6 linked regions of the Canis lupus familiaris genome follow. The protein of the gene in region 3 interacts with the protein of the main gene of each other region in a pairwise test. Links are inferred from orthologs where the notes say so. Each region holds a gene or a part of one and is shown on either strand. Other genes may lie near its edges.

What was found.
Region 1: the proteins of TRIP6 (region 3) and OIP5 interact in binary tests that used the Homo sapiens proteins (3 or more experiments, as listed by UniProt). The two-hybrid records come from large-scale screens. The link is inferred for Canis lupus familiaris from reciprocal best matches to the Homo sapiens genes TRIP6 and OIP5.
Region 2: the proteins of TRIP6 (region 3) and RHOQ interact in a two-hybrid assay, tested with the Homo sapiens proteins (2 studies listed by BioGRID and IntAct). The two-hybrid records come from large-scale screens. The link is inferred for Canis lupus familiaris from reciprocal best matches to the Homo sapiens genes TRIP6 and RHOQ.
Region 4: the proteins of TRIP6 (region 3) and HOXA9 interact in binary tests that used the Homo sapiens proteins (3 or more experiments, as listed by UniProt). The two-hybrid records come from large-scale screens. The link is inferred for Canis lupus familiaris from reciprocal best matches to the Homo sapiens genes TRIP6 and HOXA9.
Region 5: the proteins of TRIP6 (region 3) and PRKAA2 interact in binary tests that used the Homo sapiens proteins (3 or more experiments, as listed by UniProt). The link is inferred for Canis lupus familiaris from reciprocal best matches to the Homo sapiens genes TRIP6 and PRKAA2.
Region 6: the proteins of TRIP6 (region 3) and LPAR2 interact in a two-hybrid assay, tested with the Homo sapiens proteins (2 studies listed by BioGRID). The link is inferred for Canis lupus familiaris from reciprocal best matches to the Homo sapiens genes TRIP6 and LPAR2.

The regions. Positions count from the first base shown.
Region 1 is NC_049251.1:8,673,625-8,677,721, reverse strand, and holds part of OIP5 (protein Mis18-beta), read left to right. Parts: intron 1-2,235; coding exon of another isoform or gene 2,236-2,331; exon of another isoform or gene 2,332-2,619; intron 2,620-2,625; coding exon 2,626-2,727; 3' UTR 2,728-4,097. UniProt on the Homo sapiens protein: Required for recruitment of CENPA to centromeres and normal chromosome segregation during mitosis.
Region 2 is NC_049231.1:49,818,023-49,822,776, forward strand, and holds the start of RHOQ (rho-related GTP-binding protein RhoQ), read left to right. Parts: upstream 1-1,845; 5' UTR 1,846-1,915; coding exon 1,916-2,057; intron 2,058-2,536; coding exon 2,537-2,595; intron 2,596-4,754. UniProt on the Homo sapiens protein: Plasma membrane-associated small GTPase which cycles between an active GTP-bound and an inactive GDP-bound state. In active state binds to a variety of effector proteins to regulate cellular responses. Involved in epithelial cell polarization processes.
Region 3 is NC_049227.1:8,843,661-8,848,328, forward strand, and holds the start of TRIP6 (thyroid receptor-interacting protein 6), read right to left. Parts: upstream 2,941-4,668; 5' UTR 2,637-2,940; coding exon 2,528-2,636; intron 2,270-2,527; coding exon 2,142-2,269; intron 2,056-2,141; coding exon 1,930-2,055; intron 1,643-1,929; coding exon 1,265-1,642; intron 973-1,264; coding exon 879-972; intron 770-878; coding exon 600-769; intron 1-599. Other genes in the region: SLC12A9 (solute carrier family 12 member 9), read right to left, coding at 3,484-4,376. UniProt on the Homo sapiens protein: Relays signals from the cell surface to the nucleus to weaken adherens junction and promote actin cytoskeleton reorganization and cell invasiveness. Involved in lysophosphatidic acid-induced cell adhesion and migration.
Region 4 is NC_049235.1:40,434,736-40,439,405, reverse strand, and holds the start of HOXA9 (homeobox protein Hox-A9), read left to right. Parts: upstream 1-1,375; 5' UTR 1,376-3,151; coding exon 3,152-3,731; intron 3,732-4,670. UniProt on the Homo sapiens protein: Sequence-specific transcription factor which is part of a developmental regulatory system that provides cells with specific positional identities on the anterior-posterior axis.
Region 5 is NC_049226.1:53,180,347-53,184,443, forward strand, and holds part of PRKAA2 (5'-AMP-activated protein kinase catalytic subunit alpha-2), read right to left. Parts: intron 3,098-4,097; coding exon 2,593-3,097; intron 1,182-2,592; coding exon 1,055-1,181; exon of another isoform or gene 967-1,054; intron 1-966. UniProt on the Homo sapiens protein: Catalytic subunit of AMP-activated protein kinase (AMPK), an energy sensor protein kinase that plays a key role in regulating cellular energy metabolism.
Region 6 is NC_049241.1:44,053,802-44,058,478, reverse strand, and holds the start of LPAR2 (lysophosphatidic acid receptor 2), read right to left. Parts: upstream 3,258-4,677; 5' UTR 3,184-3,257; intron 2,934-3,183; exon of another isoform or gene 2,777-2,933; intron 1,970-2,776; coding exon 1,228-1,969; intron 1,082-1,227; coding exon 980-1,081; coding exon of another isoform or gene 955-979; intron 505-954; coding exon 191-504; 3' UTR 1-190. Other genes in the region: GMIP (GEM-interacting protein), read right to left, coding at 4,236-4,609. UniProt on the Homo sapiens protein: Receptor for lysophosphatidic acid (LPA), a mediator of diverse cellular activities. Seems to be coupled to the G(i)/G(o), G(12)/G(13), and G(q) families of heteromeric G proteins. Plays a key role in phospholipase C-beta (PLC-beta) signaling pathway.

The sequences.
Region 1 (4,097 bases), on a different chromosome or scaffold from region 3:
AGCAGGCATCTAAAGCTGCCTAGGAAAGGGCCCAGATGTTAGACTTAGCAGACAAAGCCTTTGAAGCAGCCACTATAAATGTCCAAAAAACGAAAGGAAACTGCTTAAAGAAGTCAAGGAAGGTATGATGACAATATCTCATCAAATACAGGATATCCACAAAGAGTTAGAAATTATAAAAAAAAAAAAAAAGAAAAAAGAAAAAGGTTGGAAATCCTGGAGTTGAAAAGCACAATAACAACAACAAAAAAAGGTACAATAACTAAAATTACAAACTCACTAGAGGGGCCCAAGAACAGATTTGAGCTGCCCAAAGAAAGAATCAGCAAATTGAAGACAAATTGATGAGACTGAAGGGAAAAAAAAATGCAGGAAAGTGAATTGAAGAGACCTCTTGGACACCATCAGGCATACCTAAACATTTTTTGGTAAAGAGAATAAATACCAAAAGGAGTACAGAGAAGTAGAAAAGATATTCAAAGAAATAATAGTAGAAAAAACCCCAAATTTGATGAAAAACCTGAATTTACATATCCAAAACCTCAATAAGTCCACAAAGGACTTATAGGATAAACACAGAAGAGATAATACCCCAATACATCATAGTAAAAATGAGGAGAGTAAACAATCTTGAAGGCAACAGAGAAATGATTCACCACATCCAATGGTACTGCAATTAGACTGGGAGGCTCTAGGGATGCCAGGGTGGCTCAGCAGTTGAGCGTCTGCCTTTGGTTCAGGGTGTGGTCCCGGGGTCCCAGTATCGAGTTCCACATTGGGCTCCCTGCTTGGAGCTGGCTTCTCCCTCTGACTGTCTCTGCCTCTCTCTCTCTGTCTGTGTCTCTGATGAATAAATAAATAAAATCTTAAAAAGGGGGGGGAGGGGAGGCTCTAGAGTTACTTTTTTAATTTAAGCAGCATTTTTTTTTTTAAGATTTTATTTATTTATTCATGAGAGACAGAGAGGCAGAGACTTAGGCAGAGAGAGATGCAGGCTCAATGCTGGGAGCCTGGTGTGGGACTCAATCCCAGAACTCGAGGATCATGCCCTGAACCAAAGGCAGAAGCTCAACTGCTGAGCCACTCAGGCGTCCCTAAGCAGCATTTCCTAATGAATATGGATTATTCTTGTGTCTTAAATGATAATATAAAGCAGATTTTATGAATGGTGCAAATTATGTTCAAATTATGGTTTATTGTTGATGGTGTTGTTAACCTGTCTTCAACAGAAGGTTGTTTTTATTTATTTATTTATTTATTTATTTATTTATTTATTTATTTATTTATTTATGATAGTCACAGAGAGAGAAAGAGAGAGGCAGAGACACAGGCAGAGGGAGAAGCAGGCTTCATGCACCGGGAGCCTGATGTGGGATTCGATCCCGGGTCTCCAGGATCGCGCCCTGGGCCAAAGGCAGGCGCCAAACCGCTGCTCCACCCAGGGATCCCCAACAGAAGGTTGTTATCCATAATTCTGTATTCCATGATAACTTTATTTACTAAGCTGAATAATACCATTAAGTTTGGTTCCTGATATAGCTATTCTTAGGTGAAAGAACTTGTCAAAAATAACCTAATTACCACAAACACAAGTTCCTAACCCAACAACCAGGGCTACTTTTGAAGACAGGCATTTGTTACTGTGAACAAAGAAAAAAAAAAGTTAGATTCTTGCCCCTAGAAAAGGAGAGGAAGAGTAGTTGAGGTTCTTCTCCACAAGCTTTCTTACCCCACCTTCTTCTTGTCTTCCTTCCTTCCCAATATTTGGCACTTAAACCTGGCGATAAGGGGTAGGAAGGAGGGAGGAGGAGAAGCAGTGATGCTCAGCAGTGGCTGGTCTTTTTTCACATGAAACTTTGTATCTGAGGATCTTACTGGGCACTTGAGGTTTGTTGCATAAAGTTCTTTCAGAAATAGGGCAGTCCTGGTGGCTTAGCGGTTTAGTGCCCCCTTCAGCCCAGGCGTGATCCTGGAGACCAGGGATTGAGTCCCAGGTCGGGCTCCCTGCATGGAGCCTGCTTCTCCCTCTGCCTGTGTTTCTGCCTCTCTCTCTCTCTCTCTAATAAATAAATAAAATCTAAAAAAGAAAGAAAGAAATAGGACAAGCATATTTATGTAATGTGTTGAGACATTACCAGCTATCAACCACTGGTTTAAATTTGAAGTGGCTTCTAAAATCATCAAAATAAGTATTAAGCTCAAGATGCCCTGATACCGATTTATTTTTCTTCCCAGCTCAAAGAGAAGATAATGTTAACACATACTCGTTTATATTCACTGATGAAGATTCTGAAGGAAAGAACTCCTGACCAGCCCAAGCCAGAAAACTGATCCAGGATTAAAGCTTAACTAGGGGGATCCCTGGTTGGTGCAGTGGTTTGGCACCTGCCTTTGGCCCAGGGCGCGATCCTGGAGACCCGGGATCGAATCCCACATCGGGCTCCCAGTGCATGGAGCCTGCTTCTCCCTCTGCCTGTGTCTCTGCCTCTCTCTCTCTCTCTCTCTTTCTCTCTCTCTCTCTCTCTGTGTATGTGTGTGTGTGTGTGTGTGACTGTCATAAATAAATAAATTTTAAAAAAATAAAGCTTAACTAGGTTCAGGTCTTATTGCTGTCTTCATCAACAGGAGTTCTCAAGGAAGAAAGATTGGCTAAGAAGAGATGTGAACTCTATTCTCACCTTGAGGCTGATTTTCCAAATGATTTGTGAAGCTTTGTCTAGAAAATGAGAAACAAAGGAAACCCCTACCCAGGTTTCATAGCTATTTGCCTTAAGAACTTATTTTAGGGTGGCGCAGTGGTTTAGCGCCTGCCTTTGGCCCTGGGCGCGATCCTGGAGACCCGGGATCGAATCCCACGTCGGGCTCCCGGTGCATGGAGCCTGCTTCTCCCTCTGCCTATGTCTCTGCCTCTCTCTCTCTCTGTGTGACTATCATAAATAAAAGAACTTATTTTAGCTTATCAATTTCATAAATGTTTGTTTCTGAATACATATTTTACTGCAAATGTAGGTTAAGAGGCAGTGTCCTGCAAATGGTCTGACATAAAGATATACGGCTGTTATGAAAACAGAGTTGTATTTCATGTTGACTACTTTATTCCTACATGGAGCAGTTGTGATGATGAAGATAGAAAACATTTTTTTTCTTACATGCAATATACGTACAAACATACTCTGTAGGTAATATTCAGTAAGTTAACTGGAAAATATACAATTTATCTTTCTCTTTTCATTTCTAAACTGAGCCTACCCAGGTAATAATGAGAGAAATGATAAAACATTCACCAAAATGCTGTTTTTCATATTTTGCTTTATATACCACTTACACTCAGTACCTTGTCATATTATTCATTTAATAAAAGTCTACTAACTTTGGGGATAAAAGGTAAGCAAAAAGAGCCACTCTCTACCTGCACAGAGCTTTTAATCTCATTAGAGGTGGACGTTCAAACAACCACATGAATACATGTGAAATTATTACTATAGTAAAGGTTTTGAAGAAAAGAGACCTAGAGCTACCAGCACATGAAGCAGCTACCGGACCCCTGGGGTTGGAAAGGCTGCTCTGAGGAAGTGGGATTTCAGCAGTGGTCTGAAAGACTAGGAGTTAATTAGGGAATGGAGGGGGACCTGTGGAGAGGCCCTTAAAAGAAGGCCTGCAGGAGGTGAACTAGTGGCCAGAAACCAGAGGGTACAAGGACTTATTGGATGATGTTGTTGTTTAAGATTTTATTGATTTATTCATGAGAGACACAGAGACAGGCAGAGGGAGAAGCAGGCTCCCTATGTGGAGCTGGATGCAGGACTCCATCTGGGACCCCCCAGATCACACCCTGAGCTGAAGGCAGATGCTCCTCTGCTGAGCCATTCAGATGCCCCCTGGATGTTTGTTTTTATCCCAAGAACAATGGAAGCCTTGGTTTCACTTTTGTAGAACCTTGCTATGGTTGTCTTGTGGAGAAGGGGTTTATAGGGGCAGAAAAGCAAGCAGACTACTGAGGGGCTGGCAAGAGCCCAATCCAGATAAGAAACAGCCAAGTGGTGGTGTCTAGAAAAGTTGACTTGGTTCAGATGTAGCTGGCAGCCATTTTTAAAGTT
Region 2 (4,754 bases), on a different chromosome or scaffold from region 3:
GGCAGAGACTGGCCTTGAACCAGTATCTGACTTCAAGGCACTGTACTGCCTTCCTTAACCTGTCATTCAGTGCACACAAAATATCTTCCAGATTCACCACATAACCAGAACAGTGGGGCAACGCCAATACCCACACTTAGATCCAGATGCAGAGGTCCCGTGAGATGTTCAGTGTGATTCCACGGAGACCTTCCAATAATCTAGGAAATCTTTCTGGGACAGAGGAAATCAGATTTGAGGTTTGAGAGTTGAGGCCTGGGAAGTGAGGCATGGAGGCAGTCCCCAAAGTGTGTTCTGCGTCTTTGCCAGAATTAGCTGGAAGCCTTTGGGATAACCACGTTGCCTCTCTAGGTCTGTTTACTTACCTACAACCTCAGGGAGAGCTAAGGGAGATGGTCCAGTTGATCTCCGCAAAGCCTCTCAACACAGCATTTTCCAATTTTGTGAATCAATGAAAACAAGCCATTTCTCACATGTGGGGGTGGGTGGGGTGGGGAGGAGAAGGGGGAGGGGCGTGGTGTCTTTGTGGTGTGTACCCACTCCCCCACCCATGCCTAAGGATCAAAGCATCACTAGAGGCTGGCGAACGGGACCTGGCCAAGCTTGGCCCAGGCAGGGGCAGGGGCAGCGGCAGGGGCAGCGGCTGCCCCCCCCCCCACCCATCACATGCCGAATCTCAGAGCAAGAGTGTCACTCCTCTGAGATCACAGCCTAACACCTTCGAAGGACAGTCTGGGCCGCAAGGGGACCTCAGAGAACGGTGCGAGGCACGGGATATTTGCCGCATCCGGAGCCCGTGGGGTCTCCCTTTGCTGGCTGGCTGGGGGTTGCTTCGGAGGTTCAAGACGCCGTAACTCCCTTAGTCACCGGTTTCAAAGTAGATGATTCAGGCTCCGTGCGGTGATGGGGAACCAGGCGAGGAGCTGTGGGACCACCGCCACCTCCCCCACCGCCCCACGCGCCTTAAAAAAAAAAAAAATTTTTTTTTAACCCTTTCTCCCACCCCGATTTCTAGTTCCCTTGTGCACTTAGGGCCCGATAGGATGGATCCTGCCTTCCGGGTGCAGTTTAAATATATTTGCATAATTTTGCACGACTATTGCGTCATCGTCGAAGTGGTCGTGGTACCCCGAGAGGCCTCCTCGGCTTCTTCCAAGCACCGGGGCCTCTGGACGCTTCCGGGCGCTGCGGGCACTTGCGCGACGAGCCCTGGGCTCCTCCCGGGCTCCGGGCCCCGCCCCCGCCCCTCCCCCGCCCGCGGCTCCGCCCCCCGCCCCCGCCCCCGCCCCGCGCGGGGAGTCAAGCTAGGGTGAGCGGCCAGGCCGGGCGGCGGCGGCGGCGGCGGCGGCGGCGGCGGCGGGCGGGGCGCGGGGCGCGGGGGCCGGGCGGGGCGCGGGGGCCGGGCGGGCGGCGCTCGGGGAGGCGCTCGGGGAGGCGCTCGGGGAGGCGCCGGGGCCCGCCCTCCTCCGGGGCGCAGCCGGGAGGGGCCCGGGCGCGCGCGGGGCGGGGAGAGCCGCCTGGCCCCTCCCCTCCGCCGCCCTCCCCAAAGTTGCCGTCTCCCCCGGGGCCGGCCGGTCTTATGATCCAGCGGATCCTCCGGGGGAGGCCGGGCCGGGGAGCGCGCGGGCGGCGGGCGGCGGGCGGCGGGGGCGGCGGGGGCGGCGGGGGCAGCGGGCGGGCGCGGCGAGCGGGGCCCGGGCGGGGATCCGGGCAGCGGCCGAGGCGGCGGCAGCGCCCCGGGCCCGCCGCCCCCTCCGCTCGGCGGGGGCCGCCGCTGCATGGGGCCGGGGGGGCGGCCGTGCTGCGCGGAGCGGCGGCGGCGGCGGCGGCGGACCCCCCAGGCGGGCTGGGGCTGAGCCCGGGGCCGGGGCGGGGGCTCCGGGGGGACCATGCCCGGAGGCCGGCCGGCCGCAGCATGGCTCACGGGCCCGGCGCGCTGATGCTCAAGTGCGTGGTGGTCGGCGACGGGGCGGTGGGCAAGACGTGCCTACTCATGAGCTATGCCAACGACGCCTTCCCGGAGGAGTACGTGCCCACCGTCTTCGACCACTACGCAGGTAAGGCTGAACTGCTGACTAAGGGGCCGCTCCCCGGCCGGGAACTTTGGAGCAACTTTGGCGGAGCCCCCTCGCCGCCTCCCCCGGGCGCGCTCCCCCCGCCCGGCCCCGCGCCGCCTCCCGGCCCCACCCCCGGGCCTCGGGGCGCCCGCTCCCGGCCCCCCGCGCCTCCCGAGCGCCGGGCGCCCTGGGACGACCTCCTTGACCTTCCCACGGCCTCCTCCCGACGGCCCACGCCCCCTGGGGGGACGCTCGGGGCACCGGCGAGCCGTGGCCACGGGTGGGCAGCTGGGGCCACAGCACAGCCCGGCCCCCCGCCACTCGGCAGGGAGCCCGACGCTGGGGAGGAGGGGTGACACCTCCCGGGAGCGCCGCACGCCTCCGGAAGGACCGACAGAGCCGTCCTGATGGGGAGCCGGAGGGCCCCAGACCCTAGATAATCCGAGCTTCTCTCCCCGCCCCCGCTTCTGTCCTTGCAGTCAGCGTCACCGTAGGGGGCAAGCAGTACCTCCTGGGACTCTATGACACGGCCGGACAGGTGAGTGTCTTGGCCCCTGGCCCACACCCCCTTGCCTCTCCTCAATTCAGGCTGGCGGCAAATGCACCCTGAGGTGTCTCGGAGGGAGGGTGTGTCTTCGAGGGGCCCCTCTGGATCAAGTCTTTATTTCTTTTCTCAAGTCAGCAAATTAGGAAAAGGAAAACACACACACACACACACACACACACACACACACAAGCCGACAACAAACCCAGCCCAGCCCACCCCATGTGAACCCCTGGGCTGTGAAAGTTTTTGCCTGTGTGTGCTTTCTGTGTGGTGCCTGGTGTGTGGGTCCCAACTCCTGTTGCAAAGTGGCAGCGGCCAATCATGAAGCGCCCTTATTTTTAGTTGCAGATGACCAGGTCTCCCCCTCACAGCCTCTGTCTGGTCCCTCATTGGTGAGTGGTCTGCCTGCCTGAGGAGCCTGATTGGTGCAAAATGGCATCATCTAATATGATGGGAAGGCATTTGGTCCTGGTTATGTTTATTACAACATCATTGCACTCTGGGACTCGAGTCCCTGCAAACGTAATTTGTGGTGTTACCAGAGGACCACAGGGGAAAAAAAAAAAAAAAAGAAAAGAAAAGAAAAGAAACAACAACCATCCAGCCACTCCCTGGGGTAGGGAGGAGGAGGAAGGGTTAGGAGTATGAATCTTGGAGGAAGAGCCCCCTCCCCCCCCCCCCCGCCCCCACCCTTCTCTGGGAAGGCCAGGTGACTTTGTCTGGGTTTTCTTTGAGAGAGATTATTGTGCAGAAAGAAAACGGCACAGTCCTCCTGGCAGCCTCTGACCATTAGCAAATCGGAGGTTGGTTCTAAAGGATTAAAGTCTCCTTCCTCTCTGTCTCTCTTCCCAGGCTCACTTTTGCTGTGGGGCTGGGATGATTACGTATAATGAAGTTTTGCAGAATCCAGCCCTGTGATTAGACGTGAAACCTTGGGCAGAAGTTTTTCACGTGTCATGCAGACTTGAGTCCTTGAGGACGTGTGAACAGCTGAGGGCTTTAGAGAGTGCCTTGGGGGATCTCCAGGAGTACAGTTTCCTTATCTATAAAATGGGCTTCAGAAAGTTCTCTGTTCACATATTATATGCCAGACGCTTAGCACTGAATCTGGCGCACCCAGGGAGATGCTCAATAGAAGGGAACTATTCTTTGCAGCTTTTCTAGATTTGGAGTTCAGAGTTGTGGTACCAGGTTGAATTGAAGAATGTCTTACAGACGGTGTCTGGATGTGGCTTCTGGCTTCTAAACTGTTAAGTTAGAGGAGCATCTGAGGATAGAGAAACTGTTGGCAGGGCCAGGTGGCAGGGGCTGTCCCCTTTCTCCAAACCAACCCAAGTCAGTACAAGTTCTTAGCTTGCCAGGGCCCCTTTTGGGTGCCTGCCCTGTAGCTGTTACTTTATTCTATCAGAACGTGTGGAGGGCAAAAGGCAGAACCCAGTCAATTAAATAAGACCCGACTTTTGAACAGTACACTTGATAAATGACAGGTTGAAGTTTGGGATTGAAAAGGAGAGAAGTTTTTAAACACCGCCTCTAATTTTAACGTCTCTCACTACCGCCTCTTCCCCTTTCTCCTTTAACTTGTTACCATGACCATTCATTTGACCACGAGCCTATTCAACAGGATGTGTATATGTCAGACCTATTCTGTGCGCATTCAAATCCAACTAATACTTACCAAGTTCCTTCTGCATGTCAGGCATGGGGCAGCCACATGCAAATACTATTTTCTCCAAGAAGCAACCCCATGAGCAAAGTGATACTGTCTTTGCAGATGGGGAAACTGGGGCTCAGAGAGGCTAGGTAGCTGACCTCAGGTCACATAGCCAAGGACAGGTGTTGCTGGGACATGGACATGGGTCTGAATTTGCTCTGGTTTGAGGTGATTATACACACAGGAAGCCACTGGAAAGGCTGAGATGCCACTTGGGTTGATTAATCCAGAACCCTGTGGGTCTGTAGACCTGGGTACCTGGAATCTGGACAGCCATTCTCTGAGTGACAGTCATGCACTACCACTACAGTGGAAAGAACCCAGATCCAAATCATCACCCGAAGCTGGACCCACGCACAAAACCAGGGCTTCCCATAAGTTATTGTGATTGCTGTGTCCAGTGGAGATGGGAAGACACATACCAAACGGTATCAAA
Region 3 (4,668 bases):
AGATCTAAGTCCCAGCACTGTAGCTTCCTACAGAAGTGATCCAGTCTCAACTTCCGTTTCCTACAGTAGTATCAGCTGCTTCACAGGGGCAGCAGTGTGGAAATTTAACATATTCCCTTAACTCAAGATAAGTCTGGTCTCCTCCTCTTCTTCCTCCTCCTCTCACATTTGTAAGGAACTATTGTCCTTTCCCTCCAGCAGCCAGTAATTTCACTACTTTCCCAATTCCTTCCTTCTTACACATCAGTTTAGTCCCCCAGCTTGGAGTTCTTTTTTCCTTTAAGACTTTATTTATTTATTCATGAGAGACACGGAGAGAGAAGTAGAGACATAGGCAGAGGGAGAAGCAGGCTCCCTGGGGGGAACCCAATACGGGACTCAATCCAGGGCTCCAGGATCACCACCTGAGCCGAAAGCAGATGCTCAACCACTGGGCCACCCAGGCATCCCCCACCTTTGAATTCTGTCCCTCTCATGTGCTTAGACATCTAGTTTCCACCTTAGATGGAAGCCTCCTGCCTCCTGCTACCTTAGATGGAAGCCTCCTGCCTCCTGCTACAGACTCCAGCACCCAGGCCACCCCCAGCACACCCACTCACCACATAGCAGCTCTCACAGTACGCCCTCCTCTCCACAGCATAGAAATGTTGGCCCCGAAGCTGGGCCCGGCATGTAGAGCACACGAAGCAGCCAACGTGAAAGACCCGGTCCAGGGCCACAACGCCAGCCCCATCCCCAACCACATCTTCCCCACAGCCGCCGCACCGCCCTGGGGACAGGGAGGGACAGGGTCAATAAGCATGCAGAATGGAAGGTGGATTCGCTGTCCCCTTGACTCCCCAGTCCCCTGCCCCCCTTCCCACCTCAGGTCAGCTCACCAAAGTACTCCCCGGTGGGAGGATGGTTCATGTCATGCACCAGTTTCTTCGTCAGCCTCTCAAGCTCTTCCTCAGGAGGCTGGTTCAGGGGGACCTGAAAGGGGGGAGTCAGGGGTTCAGCCCTACCTCCAGCTCCCTATGCTGTCAGACTTTCCTGAAGGGGACCAGGCAGTTCCAAGCAGAAAGCTCATCTGACGAGGTCTCAGCCCGGGGCCCAGGGGTGCACCTCCAGGAGCCAGTGTACAGCTCCAGCACCTCCCTCTTCTATTTCCTGACCAGCGCCACATCCCTGGGACCCAGAACTCCAACACCCCAGGACTCCCCACCCCACCCAATCAGTGTCCAGTTGTCCATGAGGACCCCACATCCCAATACTTAGGGCTTACCTGGGGCCCATACGCGCCTCCTCTTCCTCCTCCTGCAGCCTCCTCTTTAACCCCTGGCCCTGGCTCATGGTGGCTCCTATAGCCAGCCCCCCAGACTTCACCTTGGCCTGGGAGAGGAAAGTGAGGGCCCGGGAGGGCCCCGGAGGCCTGAGAGGCCCCCCGCCTGGGAGGGCCACAGCCTCTCACTGGTTGTGCCACCTTCACTTGCACAGGGAAGGCAGGGCCAGCGGGGGTGCTGGCTGTAGCATAGGAGGCTGGAGTGGGGCCCCCATAGGGAGACGCTGAGAGCTGTTGGGGAGGAATAGGAACACCCCCTCCATTCGGCTTCAGGGAGCCTGAGCCTGTGCGGTAGGCATGGGGCTGAGGGGGCTCATAAGCCTGGGGAGAAACAGACCAGGAGTGAGAAGGCCCATTCCAGGACACACACTTGTGGGCCCTCCCACGTGTGTGTGTGTGTGTGTGTGTGTGTGTGTGTCCCCAAGGTAGTGCTGGTCTTTGACAAGCACTCAAGAGGCTGACAATCTAGTAAGATGTGATACTCCTGCATGTATCACACATGGGGGCAAGGGTGAAGGGTACCAGGTTGAGAATCTAGGGAAAGGACCAGGATGGGGAGTGTGGAAGAGGGCAGGAGACAAGGAACAGGGGTGGGACAGGGAAGTCACCTGCCGGTCTGACCGCCGTGGGGCATGACCACGACCTCCATCCAACTCAGCCAGCATGCTGGTCAGCGAATCTATCTCGGCATCCAGACTTCCTGGACGCAAGGCCCCCCTGTCTGGGGGGAGCCCCTGGAGATGAAGAAAAAGCAGGGAGAATTCAAGTCACTTGCCCCGGGTGCCCCCACCTCCCACCCACTCCCAATTCCAATTCTCACCTGTGAGCGCTGGGGTGCTCCATGGCACCCCACCCAGGGGAACCCCCGATCATCTGGTCCCCCGGGGGCCTGGTAACACTGCTCAGATGGGAGGGGGCAAAAATTGACCCTGGGGTGGGGCTGATGTGCTAGGGTGAGGGAAAAGAGAGCCAAGGTGGGGATGGGGAAGGAGGGGAGGGTGACACTTATGGAGGCCGCCCTCATGGGTCACTCTTCTCCCCTCCCCCCCCACACTTGGAGTCCCAGAACAGAGCAGGAGCAGGAAGCCGGAAGGGCTTCAGGGAAGGGGTGGCAGGGACAAGCCAGGGGCAGGAGGCAGGAACCAGAAGGCGAAGGTGAGCTCAGAATGGCCAGTGGCCTCCTTGGCGGCACTGGGGCTGCCTTACCTGCTCCATGGGCTGGCGGCGGCCCCGGGGCACCTCGGGGGAGTGCTCTCCCCTGAGGGGCTCTTGCAGGCTCCAGCTGCCTTGGGGGGAGCCAGGTGGGCCCCGACATGGCCGGGATCAGGAGACTCTAGACAGCGGTCAGGCCCCACGTAGCCCCAAGACTCTGGTCTTGGCCCCTTCTTCTGTCCCACACCTCGTTTGGAACTCCAGGAAAGAAACTTTTTCTGGCCTTTTTTTTCCCCTTCCTCCCCAATTTTGGGGACAGCCACGCCCCCGGTGACGTCACCACATTCCTGGGGGAGGGTCACGTGGCCCCCTAGGCCCTAAACTGCCGTCCCTCCCCCAGTCGGCCCCCTCCCGCCGAGCAGGGAGAGCTTTCCAAGGCTGCCTCCGTTTCACTCGTTCCCCCAGACTGGCGCCCCAAGTCCCGCACGTGGCCACCTCGCCGCTGGGACGCGCTCCAGCGCGGCTCTTTCCCACACTCCCCCAACCAGATCTCTCTCTTCCCGCCCCACCTACCGCCCCTAGCAGTGCTCAGCCAGGCCAGCCCATAGTGTTTTGGTCTTTTATTCACGTTCAGCGGTTAGAAAAATAAAACAGAACAAAAACATCACAACCTCAGGGGTCTGCGAGTCTGTTGGGCAAGGGGAGACTGAGGTAGCCGAGAGTCAAAGCAGAGACCCAGCCTCCATCAAGGCACCAGTGAAGGAAGGGAGGCCAGTGGGGAGGGCTGCTGCCTTTCTCCCCCAGCGTGGTGGGGACACAGCTGCCCTGCATTAGTGCACTAAAGCCCCTCTCACAGGGACAGAGGGGTGCCCCAGCCCAGGATCCCCTAGTACTTCCACAGGGCTCCACACCCCACACGTGGAGCAGGCGGGAGGCTGCCCTTCCCTTCTGCATCCACTGATCAAAGCAGGTCACCGGACCTGGGCACCCTCTGCTCCAGGCCCCGGGCATCAGAGATCAGTGCAAGTGACTGGGGTGACTCCGTGAATGAGTAGCGTGGGGCCCAGATCATGGGTCAGAGTCTCCAGGAGCGCCAGGTAGCGAGTGTAGCAGGCAGGATCGGCGGGCGGCCGAGGCAGGTATAGGAAAGTGAGGGCTGTGGCAGGCCCACCTTCGCCATCCGCACCCTCAGGCCCACCGGGCCCGCCTCCTCTGCCGCGCCCCTGCTGGGCCCGAACCAGGGCGTTAGCACTGCATGCCAGGGCCTCTGCCTCAGCATCTCCCCGCCTGCCATTCACAAAGTCTCCTTCCTCCTCCTCCTCCTCCGGCTCCCCAGCCCCAGCCCCCTCACCCCACACCACCTCCTGTACTTCGGCTCTGATCCTCAGCTGGCTCAGCAGTGCCCGGAGCCGCCCCTCAGCCGCCCCGGGGGCCTCTCGAGGCCCCAGGCACAAGAAGATCCGGAGCCGGGCGCTATGCCAAGCAGGCACCATGCCCAAGATGGTTGCCATCTGCAGCAGGAAAAGGCCACACACATCCACGTAGCCAGGCCCACCCCGGGGCCGCAGCAGGTTGAGAGGCCACACATCCACGTGATGTGGCTGAGAGGTACCCCCTGAACCCCGGCTCAGCCGCTCCGGGGGCAGGGCCCCACAGGCCCGGGCCAGAACCACATTCTTGTTCATCTTGAGGGCGTCTGCCACTGTGGCCACATAGTCCTGGGGGCTGAGAGCCCGGGGGCTCCCAGGAGCCCGGGGTGGAGGAAACAGAGTGCTCAGGGCTGGGGACCCACCCTCCTGGGTGCCATCAGTAGCCTCGGAGAAAGCCGGGTCTGTCAGGAAGTGGTCCTGGGGTGCAGCATCATCATAGAAACCTAGGACCAAAGTGTTGGGCTTCATGCCACCTGGGAGCAGAGAGGGGGAGGTGGGAAGAGACAGGAATCAGACTCACAGGCTGAGTTTACACCACGCGAATACGCACCCACTTGCACACGCTGACAGCGACACACGTCAGCCATCAGGTATGGCATTTGTACAGTGCTTGGGCTCTCCAGGCTGCACGTTTGCATAATGACTTTTAGTTTTCCTTAATGCTTTTGTATACTTTTATTTGTTGTAACTGCATGACTAATGTTCCCCCACTTAAACGTAACGCAAAGTTTGCCTTAGGAGCAATTCTTCTTAACTAATGAGCAC
Region 4 (4,670 bases), on a different chromosome or scaffold from region 3:
TTTTGTGTGTCCACACGGAGGGCAAGGAGGCCTTCGCCAGCCTCACTGGGCACCTGAGGCTGGGACCTGGGCTGAGGTCATGCCAGGCTCCGTGGAGCCTGACTATGCGGGGAACTCCGCCTGGAAGCTTCCTCCGCTTTCCCAGGCCTGCCTGCGGGTCCCAGCCCTGGCTTTAACCGCGGTAGGGGAGCCCCGCTAGGGCAAAAACTGGTTGCTTGTTTGCCAGTAGCTTCTCCCAGGTTCAGACTCTGTTAGAAATGGCATCCTTGGTGCGGAATGGGTGCTGGAGAAAGGGACCCTTCCAGCTCCAGTCGGCTTCAAATAATAGGGGAAAGGTGTCCTAAATGCTACAACCATTGGATTACAAACTTGAGTCCTTGTTCCAAGTTGTAGTCCACAGTTGGAAGGCAGTCGAACCATTCTTGGTCTGGAACAGAAAATAACTTTCATCCCTGCCTGCTCCCCAAATGCACACTCGTGGGGCCTTGAGACTCATGCCCACTGAGCTGTGTGTGCTTCCCTTCCCAGCTCTGGCTGCCGGCCCTGGAACTGTTTCCATTGCTCTGCCTGCGGTTCTCTTATCTGAAAGGCCAGCACACCGCTTTCCCCTCAACTCCTCTGTGCCATTTTCCGGACCAGAGTATTGGATTTGTTTAGAGGCCAAGGTTTTAGAACTCTCAGGCGAAAAGAGGCGGTTTGTAATTACATCCATTTATTATTTTTTTATATACACACTCAGTCCCTTGCATTTCCAAAATAAAAGCTGACTCCAAAGCCTGAATATTTTCTCCCCAAGTCTCTGGACTGACGAAGAGGTAATATTAGTTTTTGTGTGTGTGTGTGTGTGAGATTTCTTCCCTTTTAGGCACCAGTAAGGACTGCTTAACACTCAGCGCCTGCTAATTACTTGGTAACTGTCCTATTCTGGGGACTAAGGCTCTTTAAATAGCCTTTCTATATATTTAAAAAAAATACTACTAATAATTCGAGTCTTCTCTGGGCACAAAAAGTCAAAAAGCAATGAGGGGAATCCAGCCTGCTTGCAGACAATTGCAATTAGGAGCGAGGTTTCCTCCAGGGTTAATGTTCCTTAATGAAAATCTCAGAGGCACCCGCGAACTGCCCAATATTTGGGATACTCCGGGATGCGGTGGGGGTGGGGATCAGGCGGAGGAATTTACAGGGAAAGGAAAATATTAGGGGGGAGGAGGCTGAGGCGACCAGGACCAGCCACGTCGGAGTTCACTGTGTCGGCCACTTCCCTCTTCCGGCGAGAGCGGATAAAGGGGCACCCGGTTGGTCTCCGCCAGGCTTCGCAGCCTCGGTCTGGGGGAGAGCCTGGCGTTCGAGGGTCCCTGTCCCGGGTAGGGATGTATCAGGCTTTGGGGGAGGATTACTGGAACTGCTGGGGAGCATGAAGGCAGAAAAGGAGATGGAAGCGCCCTCGCCGCCCGCCCTCGCCGCTAGGGAAGTGGGCTAATGAGAAACACACTCTTGCAGGCACAGTGTTCACACGTGAATTTAATTACCCCGTTTTTTGGAGTCGAGGCTTTCCGTTCGGATTTGGGGTGGGTTTTTTTTTCTTCCAACTACCAGAGGCCTTTTAATTTAACCCTGCAAGACTCTGAGGGGTGAGAAATGCCCTCCTCAATGTGGCCAAGCTAAGGAATGGGATTAAAGTCAATGCCCCGTGCCCCTCCCCGCTTTAATATCTAGCCCTGGACTTGAGCTGCGGTCGCCCAGCTTCGGGCTGTCCGGCCTGGTGAAAACCGAGGCGGGGCCCGGGGCAGTGGCCAGAAAGGAAGGAAGGAGGGAGCCCTGAAGAACCCATCCTGGGCGGCGAGGCCGACCGCTCCCGTGCGGGCCTCGCAGTTCCCGGAGCCCCGCGGTCTGTGCGGCGGGGCTGCCTTCTCGCAAGCCGATCTCGCCCTCCACGGAGGCTGCCTCGTGGGTTTTTTTTTTTTCCCTGCAGGCTCGGGTTGGGGGAACGCGACAAACTTGCCGAGCTCAGCGTGAGGGCCTTTGGGGTCGAGGCACAGTTTTGGGTCTCCCGCTGCGTTCGCCTGGGTCTCCTCCTGATTCCCCGCAGAGGACTCGTCGGGCGCGGGGGCGCGCGGGGGCGCGGGGCCGGGACCGAACCCGCGGCACAACCAGGCCCTCCAACCCTTGGCTGCTGGGACGGCTGGCCGCTCCTCGGTGGAGCGCTCGCTGGAGGCGCAGCGGGCGAAGCTAGGAGCTAGCTGCCCGGGTGTCCTGGGATCCCATGGGGGCAGATTTCAGGGCCCCACAATAGGCAGTGCCCTCTCCAGGGCCTGTCGCTGCCCAGCGCACTCGGGCAGGGGCGGTGGTGACTCAGTTTGGGACGGATACTGCGTTGAATTTGACTTTTCGCGGCCCGTCCGGGGTAAACTCGCATCTCCCGGGACTGCAGGGATTATTTACAGGGAGCTCGCCGACCAAACACAACACTCTAATTTAACCTTTCCAAGTCCTCGTAAATTTTTACAGCTGGGAGCCACGGCGAAGCAAACGAATCTGTGGGTCGTTCCCAACTTTTCCACCGGCCTGTGTGGCTTCTGAAACAATAACTCCTTATGAAATATCATAAATATAGATTTAAATACAGTAGAGCGAGAATGCGATTTGGCTGCTTTTTTATGGCTTCAATTATTGTCTAATTTTATGTGAGGGGCTCCACTGGCCGCACTCGCACGCGGGACCCGCGCCTTGCTGATGGCGTGATTAATTGTGATATAAAATAGTCCGCTTAAGAAGTGTGTGTCTGGTGGTGGCGGTGGGAGGGGAGGGAGTACAGAGGCAAGGCCAGATTTGATCTTTTAATCTTCGTTGGCCACAATTAAAACAAACCCGATCGTGGAGCGCCGCGATCCCTTTGCATAAAAACATATGGCTTTTGCTATAAAAATTATGACTGCAAAACACCAGGCCATTAATAGCGTGCGGAGTGATTTACGCGTTATTGTTCTGCCGGGCGGGCACGTGACGCGCGCGGCCAATGGGGGCGCGGGCGCCGGCAACTTATTAGGTGACTGTACTTCCCCCCCCCCTGGTGCCACCAAGTTGTTACATGAAATCTGCAGTTTCATAATTTCCGCGGGTCGGGCCGACCGGCCAGGCGCGGGGCACAGCGATGGCCACCACCGGGGCCCTGGGCAACTACTACGTGGACTCGTTCCTGCTGGGCGCCGACGCTGCGGACGAGCTGGGCGCGGGCCGCTACGCGCCGGGGGCCCTGGGTCAGCCTCCCCGGCAGGCCACCGCGCTGGCGGAACACCCCGACTTCAGCCCGTGCAGCTTCCAGTCCAAGGCGGCGGTGTTCGGCGCCTCGTGGAACCCGGTGCACGCGGCGGGCGCCAACGCGGTGCCCGCTGCCGTGTACCACCACCATCACCACCACCCCTACGTGCACCCCCAGGCGCCCGTGGCGGCGGCGGCGCCGGACGGCAGGTACATGCGCTCCTGGCTGGAGCCCACGCCCGGCGCGCTCTCCTTCGCGGGCTTGCCCTCCAGCCGGCCTTACGGCATTAAACCTGAACCACTGTCCGCCAGAAGGGGTGACTGTCCCACGCTTGACACTCACACTTTGTCCCTGACTGACTATGCTTGTGGTTCTCCTCCAGTTGATAGAGAAAAACAGCCCAGCGAAGGCGCCTTCTCCGAAAACAATGCTGAGAATGAGAGCGGCGGAGACAAGCCCCCCATCGATCCCAGTAAGTGTCTCCTCCCTTCAGACCGGCCGCCGCCTCCACGCCGGCCACCAGGATCTGCCAGCCCTTCGGCTTTCTCTTGAGCCTGCCTTCGCCTGCGCCGCCGGGAGCCTCTTGAGCAGGGGCCGGGAACCAGAAGTTGCTGTTTAGGATGCCTCGGATGGGGCCCCAATTCCAGAGAGCAGTGACAAGCCGGCTACCGGGTTGAGGGGGGAGGGGAGGCGGCTGCTGCGGGATGAGAGAGAGAGAGAGAGAGAGAGAGAGAGAGAGGGCGGGGCGGGCGCTGCCGGCCAAGCCAAGACCAGCCGCCCCTCTCCCTGGCTGCCCGGTACCGAGACAGCAATACTTTGGGCCGTTCTTCGAAAGCAGCTCGGCAGAGAATCTTTTGTGCGGCTAGATTGTCCTGGAGCGGCGGCAGCAACTGCAGCCTAGACCCTGGAGAAGACGGCCGATTCCCTCCACTTCTTGCCTTCAGCCAGTGGCGGCGTAAATCCTGCCCAGGATGAGGCTGTAGGCGACCGGGCCACGGTGGTCCCCTTGCCAGATTATTCAAATACACTGGAGAAGTGATCCGCGCCCTTGGGGCGCGCGGTGAGGGCTGCCGGAGGCTCCCACAGCCTTTCGGGGAGGTCAAAGAAGGATTGGGGAGAGAAGGAAAGGAGGGGAAGGGAGGCTACACACAGAGACAGTGTGTATGCGTGTGTGTGAGATAGTGAGAGGGAGAAGAGAATATGAGTGTTACAGGAACACAGGGCAGCGTGCTGTCCCTGTGCCTGGCCAGAAGAGGATCTATTTCCAAATTTCACTCCTTGCACAGTGTGCAGAGGGTGGAAAGAAGGAGAGGAAACGGACCAGGGGACAGAGGAGGAGAAAGGAGGGTCTCGTGAGGGAGGGGGAGGCCGAGGTTTTACTGCGTGCGATTGTAAGTGACCGGTCCTCTGT
Region 5 (4,097 bases), on a different chromosome or scaffold from region 3:
CTCAAGAGATTCTGATTTGGGAGATCTGGGGGTAGTTACCAACAATCTGCATTTTAATAAGAACTCTAGGTAATTCTGATGATGGTGGTCAGAGACCATATAAATACTATAAATACTATAGTCAGTGGTAGCTGAGGAATAAAATTTAACTCTTCTGTTGAAAACAACTTCCTTAACTCTGAACTCAGTTCTCCTCTTGTTCTATCTTGCACCTAACCCCTGGTTTACTGTTTGTATCCCACTTGCACCTCTAAACTGAACAAGCAAATAAATAAAATCTTTAAAAAAGGGGGGGGGGGTGGGCAGCCCGGGTGGCTCAGCGGTTTAGCGCTGCCTTCAGCCCAGGGTGTGATCCTGGAGACCTGGGATCGAGTCCCACTTCGGGCTCCCTGCATGGAGCTTGCTTCTCCCTCTGCCTGTGTCTCTGCCTCTCTGTCTCTCTGCCTCTCTCTCTCTCTCTCTCTCTCTCTGTGTGTCTCTCATGAATAAATATAAAATCTTAAAAAAAAAAATAAACTGAATAAGCACATCTGGTTCATGAAGGTTTGACTTCTGGTACCCACTAAGTACTTAAAACACAACCCACAATCACCTCCCTTGACTCCTTCAGTCTCCTGGATGGCTGGAGCATCAAAATTAAACCTGAACCAAAGAGAGTCCCATCTGGCCAACTAGAATGAGGGAAGTTGATGAATGAGGAAGTTTAGATAGTGGAATCCTAATAATAATAAAATATGACTGGAGAAATGTGACAAAGAACCTGACAACATCAGTTAATTTTAGGCAAAAATTGCTTCCCTATTGTTCCTTACTTTTGCTCCACAGCCAACACTTCAAGTGACTTTATGCCAAGGAGGCACATCTTTTGGAGAGGTGCTGGGTTAGATATAGGTCTTCAATCTTTTTCATTTCACTTGCATTTTTAGCTAATTCTAGATTACTTAAAAACCAGTATAGAAGACCTACCCACCATGTCTTTGAGATGATTTTAACATCTTGTCAACTAGTGCCAAGTTTTATCTTCTCAGAGCTCATGTCTGCATAGCTTCCTTACCATCAATGCTTTTAAAGTCCAAAAGATAGCTTCTATTGTCAACCAGGTAAAGTTGTAAACTCATTTTCACATAATTGCCAGTCACTGGATTTTTTCTTCTTACACGAAGATGATATGCATTCACTACCTAAAATGGGAAATTTTTTTTAAGGAAAGTTGTTAAAAATAACGAACTACAAAATATCTCCCTTATTCTTATTGCAAAGAATATCAAAAGAAACAACTGACAGAGGTAGGGTAGAAAAGGAATTCCTGTATGATCTTTTTATATTACATGACAGTTTAGTATTTATATTTAATCTCCACTAATCAGACTGTGCAAAGCAACTGAAATTTAAAGGGCACTCGGAGATTATATGGAGTCTAGGCCTTCATTCTAGATATGCCTCTGTTCTAAAATGTCAACAATTCTGATCATCTTGAATAACTTTACCTATTAATATGGAGTAGAAGGAATAAAAAAGAACACATTAATAGTTTGCATTAGGCAATATAAACAGGTACTGTCACAAAATTTAAGTATTCAAATAATCCTGTGAAGAAGTATTATTTGCCTTTTTTTTTTTTTTTTTTTTTTTTTTTTTTATTATTTGCCTTTTAAAGAGATAAGAACTACAGCTCAGATAAAGATAATTCTGGATTTTTAAAACATCTATTAAATAAGTTCCAAATTTTTTTCAGTATTGGATTTTAATGACATTAATGTCTCTTAACTAAATCACTTAAGAAAAGGGGGATCTGTTTTTTAAGTGATTTTAAGAGACTATTATTTTGCTTATTCATGTACAAATAAAATGAAAATGATGGATTTTTCAAATATGTCAAATGAATATATACATTGTATATGTGAATGTTTTTCTTCCTTTAAAAATACATTTACAGTCCTCAAGAAAGGAACCAGAGTAGAAAGGATATCTGAAATGAAAAAAATGCTTTTCCTCCCACATATACTCAAATAGAATTGCAATGAATTTGAACACTAATTTAAAAAAAAGAAAATTGGATGCTAAGAGTAAGAAAAATATACCACTATTTTGGGACTAGCCAAATAAAAGAGATTTTCTCAACCTAGAGAAAAGTATTTATTGACTGAAAAAATATGTCCTGATGGCATATCATCTGTATTGCTACAGCTAGGGGGGAAAAGGGAGAAAAGTAAAAACATAACATCTTTGAAGACACATGACTTTTTATTGTTATGATGCAGACAGAAATAGGTGGACTATTTTCTCAGGTGATTGATTTCAGGTTATTTTCTGTTTCTTGACTAAGAATGCTAGTCTCCAATTCAAAAATATTGTAGGTCCCCAACATCAACGATTCTTCATGCTTATAGAACTTTGTTTAGTTTTGAATGAACTTGGTATATTAATGGAAAAAATGGGAGTTTTTATCATCTAGAAGCATCAAGACCAATTTATATCTAAATCAAAACAACTTTTTTATTGACATAAGTACTCGACTCGATAGATCAGTGCAGCTTACTATACAAAAAAACAAACCTTTACAAATGATCTTAATATTCTACAATTTCATACCTTCCATTCAAAATCCAGCTGCTTCATAGCTCGGTAGACTTCAGCCATAATGTCATAAGGTTTGCTTTGACTTCTGATTCCAAGATGCCACTTGGCTTTTTTCACAGCTAAAGATTTGGGCTTAGTTGTATTCAGTGCATCCAATGGACATCTCGCTTTAGGGCTGTCTGCTATAAGAGGTGGCATCCTTTCTGGATGAGGTTTCAGGCCTGGGGGAATATGCATGGTACTATCATCCATAAAAGAACCAGTTGGGGGACTAGAGGCGAGGTAGAACTCACTGGCTTGGTTCATTATTCTCCGATTGTCAATGATAAGATGATAAGCCACTGCAAGCTGGTCTTGAGGGTCACCACTATATAAACTGTTCATTACTTCTGATTCTGTACACTCAAATTTTTCACACACTTCTTTCACAGCCTCATCATCAATGACGTTAGCATCATAGGAGGGGTCTTCAGGAAATAAGTAACTGGGCAAATCTTGTTTAAACCATTCATGCTCTCTAGGAAAAATACCACAATACACTATTGTAAGAACATGCTTTGGCAAGTCCCAGATAATTTAGACATGGGGCAATAAAATATAACAGAATCAGAAAAAACTATTCTCTGTGTGACCCTGGGTAAGTTAATTAACCTCCACCCTTGAATAACTATGATTATTCAGACTTGGATATTTGGCTCACATTTTCTCAAAAATAAGTAAAATGAGCCTGTCACTTCAAAGGAAACAACCGACAGTATTTGTTGCCAACAATAAAGTTTAAGCTTTCAAGCAAAATTTAGAATTTTATATAATTTGTATCTGCCTCCATGAGTTTGGCAGCTTCCTACTATGTAAAGACTTTTCTGATAACTTTATAATGATAGCAATGAACAGGATTTCTAATACTGTATAATGAACTTGTCACCATTCGGAAAATCTTTTTTAACTCAATAACCTGGCATCTCAATAACTTCAAATGACCAATGCATGATGTTACAAAATCATACACAGGTAAAATATCCACAAAACATAAAATAGACCAGTGGATTTTAATGCAATAAAGTACAAAAGTATGCCAATATGTTTTCTCATTTGATACTATAACGAGTTAAGCTTTGGCTTAATATCAAAGCAGAATATCCACAATTATCTGAAAGACTATTCAAATGCTTCTCCTTTTTCAACCACTTATTTGAGTGATATCAGATTTTCTTCATAGACTGCAACTAATATAACATATTGCAACAGACTGAATGAAGAAGTAGGCCTAAGAATCTAGCTGAGGTTTATGAGTAAGCCCAACACTTAAGGGAATCTGAAAATGAAAAAACAAAAAACAAAAAACAAAAAAACACCATTCTTGTTATTTTCTTTTTGGTCATTTTCCATGAAAGATATGTTATTTAGATTAACATGTACTAGTTTTACTGTTATTTTTAAGTAAATTAAGTGTTTTTTAAGTGTCTCAGTTTTAATTTCTTATATGAAAAATACTGATATAACCTGCATTAAAAAAC
Region 6 (4,677 bases), on a different chromosome or scaffold from region 3:
TCCCTTCTGACTCTCTCCTGGGCATTGGGAGATGACCCCACTCCCCCAGGCCCTGGGGCAGGCTGGCAGTGGAGTTGTGCCATAGCAGACTGAAGGTCTGTCCTGCAGCTTAGGTAGAGCCAGGTGCATTCACCAGTGGTCGGAGGCCATAATCTGGCATTTGCAGCACCCCACTGAAGTCCCAGGTCGGCTAAAGGGTGGAGTCCATCAAGGAGTGGCCATTCTCAGGAAGCATGATGCGAGTGCTGGCACCTGTTCGGGCGGAGGGTGCATAGCGGGCAGACTCGTGGGTGGACCGGCGTAGGCACAGACAGCAGAGGAGGCGGCGGAAGGTGCGGCGCATCTCAGCATCTCGGCACGAGTACACCACGGCGTTGACCAGTGAGTTGGCCTCGGCCAGGAGTAGGAAATACTTCTCCACCGCCAGGACGTTGCAGGACTTGCAGCCCAGACCATCCAGGAGCAGCACCACCTGGCCTGGAGTCCAGCAGACCACGAACGCCCCTATAGGATGGAGCCTGAGGTGAGCAGGGCTAGCTATTGGGGCCCAAAACCCACAGGTCAGAGCTCAGGCCTGGAAGGAGCTCCAGAGCTCAGACAACAGCCGTGTAGTTTGCAGGGCAAGAGCCGCCTGACACCTTTCTCTGATTTATCTGCCAGAAGGGATGCCTTTCCTAACCTGGTACACGGTAGACAGGGTGCTGGACATTTCTACATGAAAATTTGTTCTATGAGGGGAAGGAGGTCATGTGGGAGAGGTGTTACTTGGTGGGGGGAAAGGGGGTCATAGGGAAGAGTCACTCCTTGTTCTTAGGGGTAGGGGAGTGTATCCTTGCAGGATAACCTGGCTACCTCCCCCACTCAGACCACTCTACAGCCAGACTGACCTCATTACTCCCTACTAAGAACTCTTGAGGGCTTCCCACAGAACTCAGAACAAAATCTGACTCTTGCCTGTGCCCTTCGAGGCGGTGCTGACCTTTTCTCCTGCTTCTCTCCAGCCACACGGGCCTCCTCTCCTCTTTGGAGGCACAGCCCAGTCCTGCGGGACTCTCACCTTCTGTTCCCTCTGCCTGGAAGTCTTCCCTTCCCAGCATTCAGGTCTCTGCTCAGATGTCACCTCCTTGGAGAACATTCCCCACCCAAATCATGCCCTCCCATGCCTTGTGGGAGTTGGGGGGAAGCAGGGTTCCCGCAACCCTGGGCCAGCTGAGGACACTCACTCACCCAGGATAATGACAACGGTCTTGACCAGGCTGAGTGTGGTCTCTCGGTATCGCGGGTGGCAGCTGACGTGCTCTGCCATGCGCTGCACCCTCCGCCTCACATAGAAGAAAATGCGGGTGTAGACAGCCACCATGAGCAGGAAGACAAGCAGGCTGGACAGGGCCCAGACAGCCAGATAGGAGCGGCTGAGCAGGGGGGCCATGCGTGAGCAGCGGTCCAGGGCACAGAGGCAGTGCCAGGAGTGGGCCGGCAGCAGCCCCAGGCCCAGTGCAGCCACCCACACCCCCACGATGAGCATGACGACTCGGCCTCTGGGCAGGCGGCTGTGCAGCTGCACAGCCATCACGCTGCGGTGCCGCTCCACGGCGATGGCTAGCAGTGTGGCCACTGATGCCGTCAGGCTGGTGTCCAGCAGGCCCTGCCGCACGAACCAGCCCTCCAGCGAGAGCCGGGCCGTGCGAGGGCCAGTGTGGAACATAAGGAAGAGGTAGGCCACACCAGCAAAGAGGTCAGCCGCGGCCAGGTTGCCAAGCAGGTAGTAAATGGGCTGGTGGAAGCGTCGGTTGGAAGCAATGGCTGCGATGACCAGCAAGTTGGTCAGCAGCACCAGCACGCTGACTGTCAGCCCCAGGGCCACCACAACCACATCTTTGGGCCGCCAGTGGGAGCTGAGTTCCTTGCCACTGTTGTTGTAGAAGAAGCCGATGGTCTCGTTGTAGTAGCACTGGCCCATGGTGACCATCTGGGGGCACAGAGGGAGAGGTCAGTATAGGTGGCATTTGTTCGAAGGACACAAGAATGAGCAGCAGCCAGTGAGGGCGGGGGTCAGGACAGGAAGGGCAAGGGTCTCAGACTCGGTAAAGTGGCAGTGGTGGAGCCCAGGGTAACCGGGAAAGCAAGCTCCCTGGTGGGAGTGTGGGGGATGGGCAGCTGTTGCTCATTTACTAATAAGACCCTTACAAAGATTATCCCCCCAAATCAAATGACTGGCTGTTTGTTTTAACTTAAGCAAAATCAAACAAACGAAAACAACAAAAAAATCATCTACTACCCAAGCGCGCCCAATCTGTACTGGGGGGGTGAGTGGCGGGGAAGGAGGGACAAAGCGCCAGGAGCTGTGCAAGTGGGTGAGGGACGGTACGCTCGCTGCTGGGATCAGTGCACAAAGTAGAGCCCAAGGGGCGTGTGTGAGCAGGGTGGAGTCGCTGCTGGGACCCTGCAGGGCAGTCCGTGCTTGAGCGTGGAAGTGACCGGGTCCACCAGAGCCGGCAGCGACGCGGCCCCAGAAGTTGGGCGGCGGGTGCTGGGCGCGAGCGTTCCCGAGGCGGGCGGGGTATCGGGCAGTGACGGGTGGGACGGAGGACCCCGGCGGTCTCCCAGACAAAGGGGGCGGCCAGGGAGGCGGCGGCCGCGGGGCCTCCAGGCGCCCCCAGGCGCCCCCAGGCTGGAGGAGGAGCCGGGGCTAAGGGGAGGAGGGGGCGGTGCCCGGGCCCCGCAGGCACGTGCCGCGCCCTCCCGGGGACCCGCGCCCGCCCGCCACCGTCAGTACCGGCCTCGTCTGGGCGGCCCGTCACGTCGCAGACGGGCGGCCTCCCGGGGGGACGGGGTAGGCCCCAGACCCATAGCCTGGGGGCCACCGCGGGAGCCGACGAGCGTCCGGGTGCGCTGGGCGCGGGCGCCGAGAGCCGAGAGCCGGAGGGCGGGGTCCCGCCCCTGCCTGGGCGCGGCGCCCCGCCCCCGCCACCTGGGAGCCCCGCCCCGCCCCCGCCACCTGGGGGATCCCGCCTCCGCCGGCGCGGTCGGGACGGGGTCTCCCGGAACCGCAGCCCCCCACCGTTTCCTCCCGGCCTCGCGGTCGCCCCTGCACTTCCGGCGCGGGACCCCCGCCCCCGCCCCCGCCCCCGCCCTCGCCCGCCCCACGCGCAGTTTCGAGCCCCCGGGGGCCGAGCCACTCACCGCGCCAAGTCCCCGCCGTGACCTCGCGCCGCCTGGGCGCAGCTCCGGGTGGTCTCAGGGTCCGCGCCCCCGCCCGGCCCCACCCCACCCGCTCCCCGCCGTCCAATCCGTCGCCGAGCTCCAAGCCACGCCCTGATCCGACCGGGCTCCCACCGCCGGGACCCCCGCCCCGCCTCCGCTTCCCCGGCCCCGAGATACCGCGCGCGCGGCCCCCGGGGCCCCACGGACCTCTCCGGCCCCAGCTGACCCTCGGGCCGCGCTCAAGTTTCTGGAAATCCCACCCCCACGCCCTGCGCCCGCGGCCGCGCTGCCCCCTGCCCGGCCCGGCTGATGGCGGCCCTAGGCTCCCACGGCCCAGAGCACACAGCCCCATTGTCCCGGTTATCTGCACTTTGTTATATTTGTTTGATTATGCAGGACCGGATCGGGGACGTGGAGCTCCGGGAGGGACGGGCCGTTGTGACTCAGCCGGGTGCCCGGGCCCAGCCCGTACTTCTTGTAGGTGCTCAAGGATGTTTGGGGATGAAAGGGGGCCTTAGTTCCTCCAGTGGGTAAAGTGGGGCCAAAGGATGCTGCCCTCCCCTCTCTCTCTCCCATCACCCTTGCCTGGCAAAAAAAAAAAAAAAGACACTCAAGGGTATAAAGGACACAGTTTATTCCCAGGCGTCAGGCCCCAGGTGCCACAGAGTCTGGGCTGCCCACTCCCTCCAAGAGCTGCTCACCTGAGGCAGCTAAGGAGGCAGGCAGAGGTGGGGGAGTGGCTACAACCAAAGTAGCAAAAGGTACCCCTGTCCCAGGGGTTAGAGACTAGAGTGGATGCCAAGGATCCCATGACTTGTAATGACCCTGAGTGTTGACCCTGACTAACCTCTGAACCTGAGTGGCCCTGATGCTTGGCAGTGACCTATGTCTAGTGGGGGAATACTGGTATATTGCTTCAAAAGGGGTTTTAGTCTCCAAGGCCATGTAGTCTTTCCTTGCAGGAACTCTCCAGTTCCCCCAACACTGAACACCTCTCAGTCCTTTCCCCCTTGGTCAGAAGGCTGGGATGGTCAAAGATGGTCCTCAGCTTCCTCAGGTTGGGGATCTGGGCAGCAGGTGGCCTTGGGCATAGCTTCGCTGGGTAGCTTGGAGAGAAGCCGGGCTGTCTCCTGGGTGATCTCAAAATGCTTGGGCAGCGGGGTGCGGCGCAGAGGGCTGCCCTCAGGCGAGGAGGTGACAGGGCCAGGTCCTCGCCTCCGCAAACTCCCTCGCGTCACTGATGTGATAGGGGTCTCCTCACACAATTTGGAAGCTACCAAGGCAAAGCTGGACAGCTGGTGGGTGATAGGCCGTGCTCCACCCCGGGGATATTTCACTGGCTGGCGGCTGAAGTGGCCACGGGATTGAGTCCCCAGGAGTGAGTCCTCTGGACCTTGGCTGGACACTGTGGGTTGGGATGGTCAATGATGAGCATCCCTGAGTCCTCTGGATATAACCTGGGGGTCAAACCTC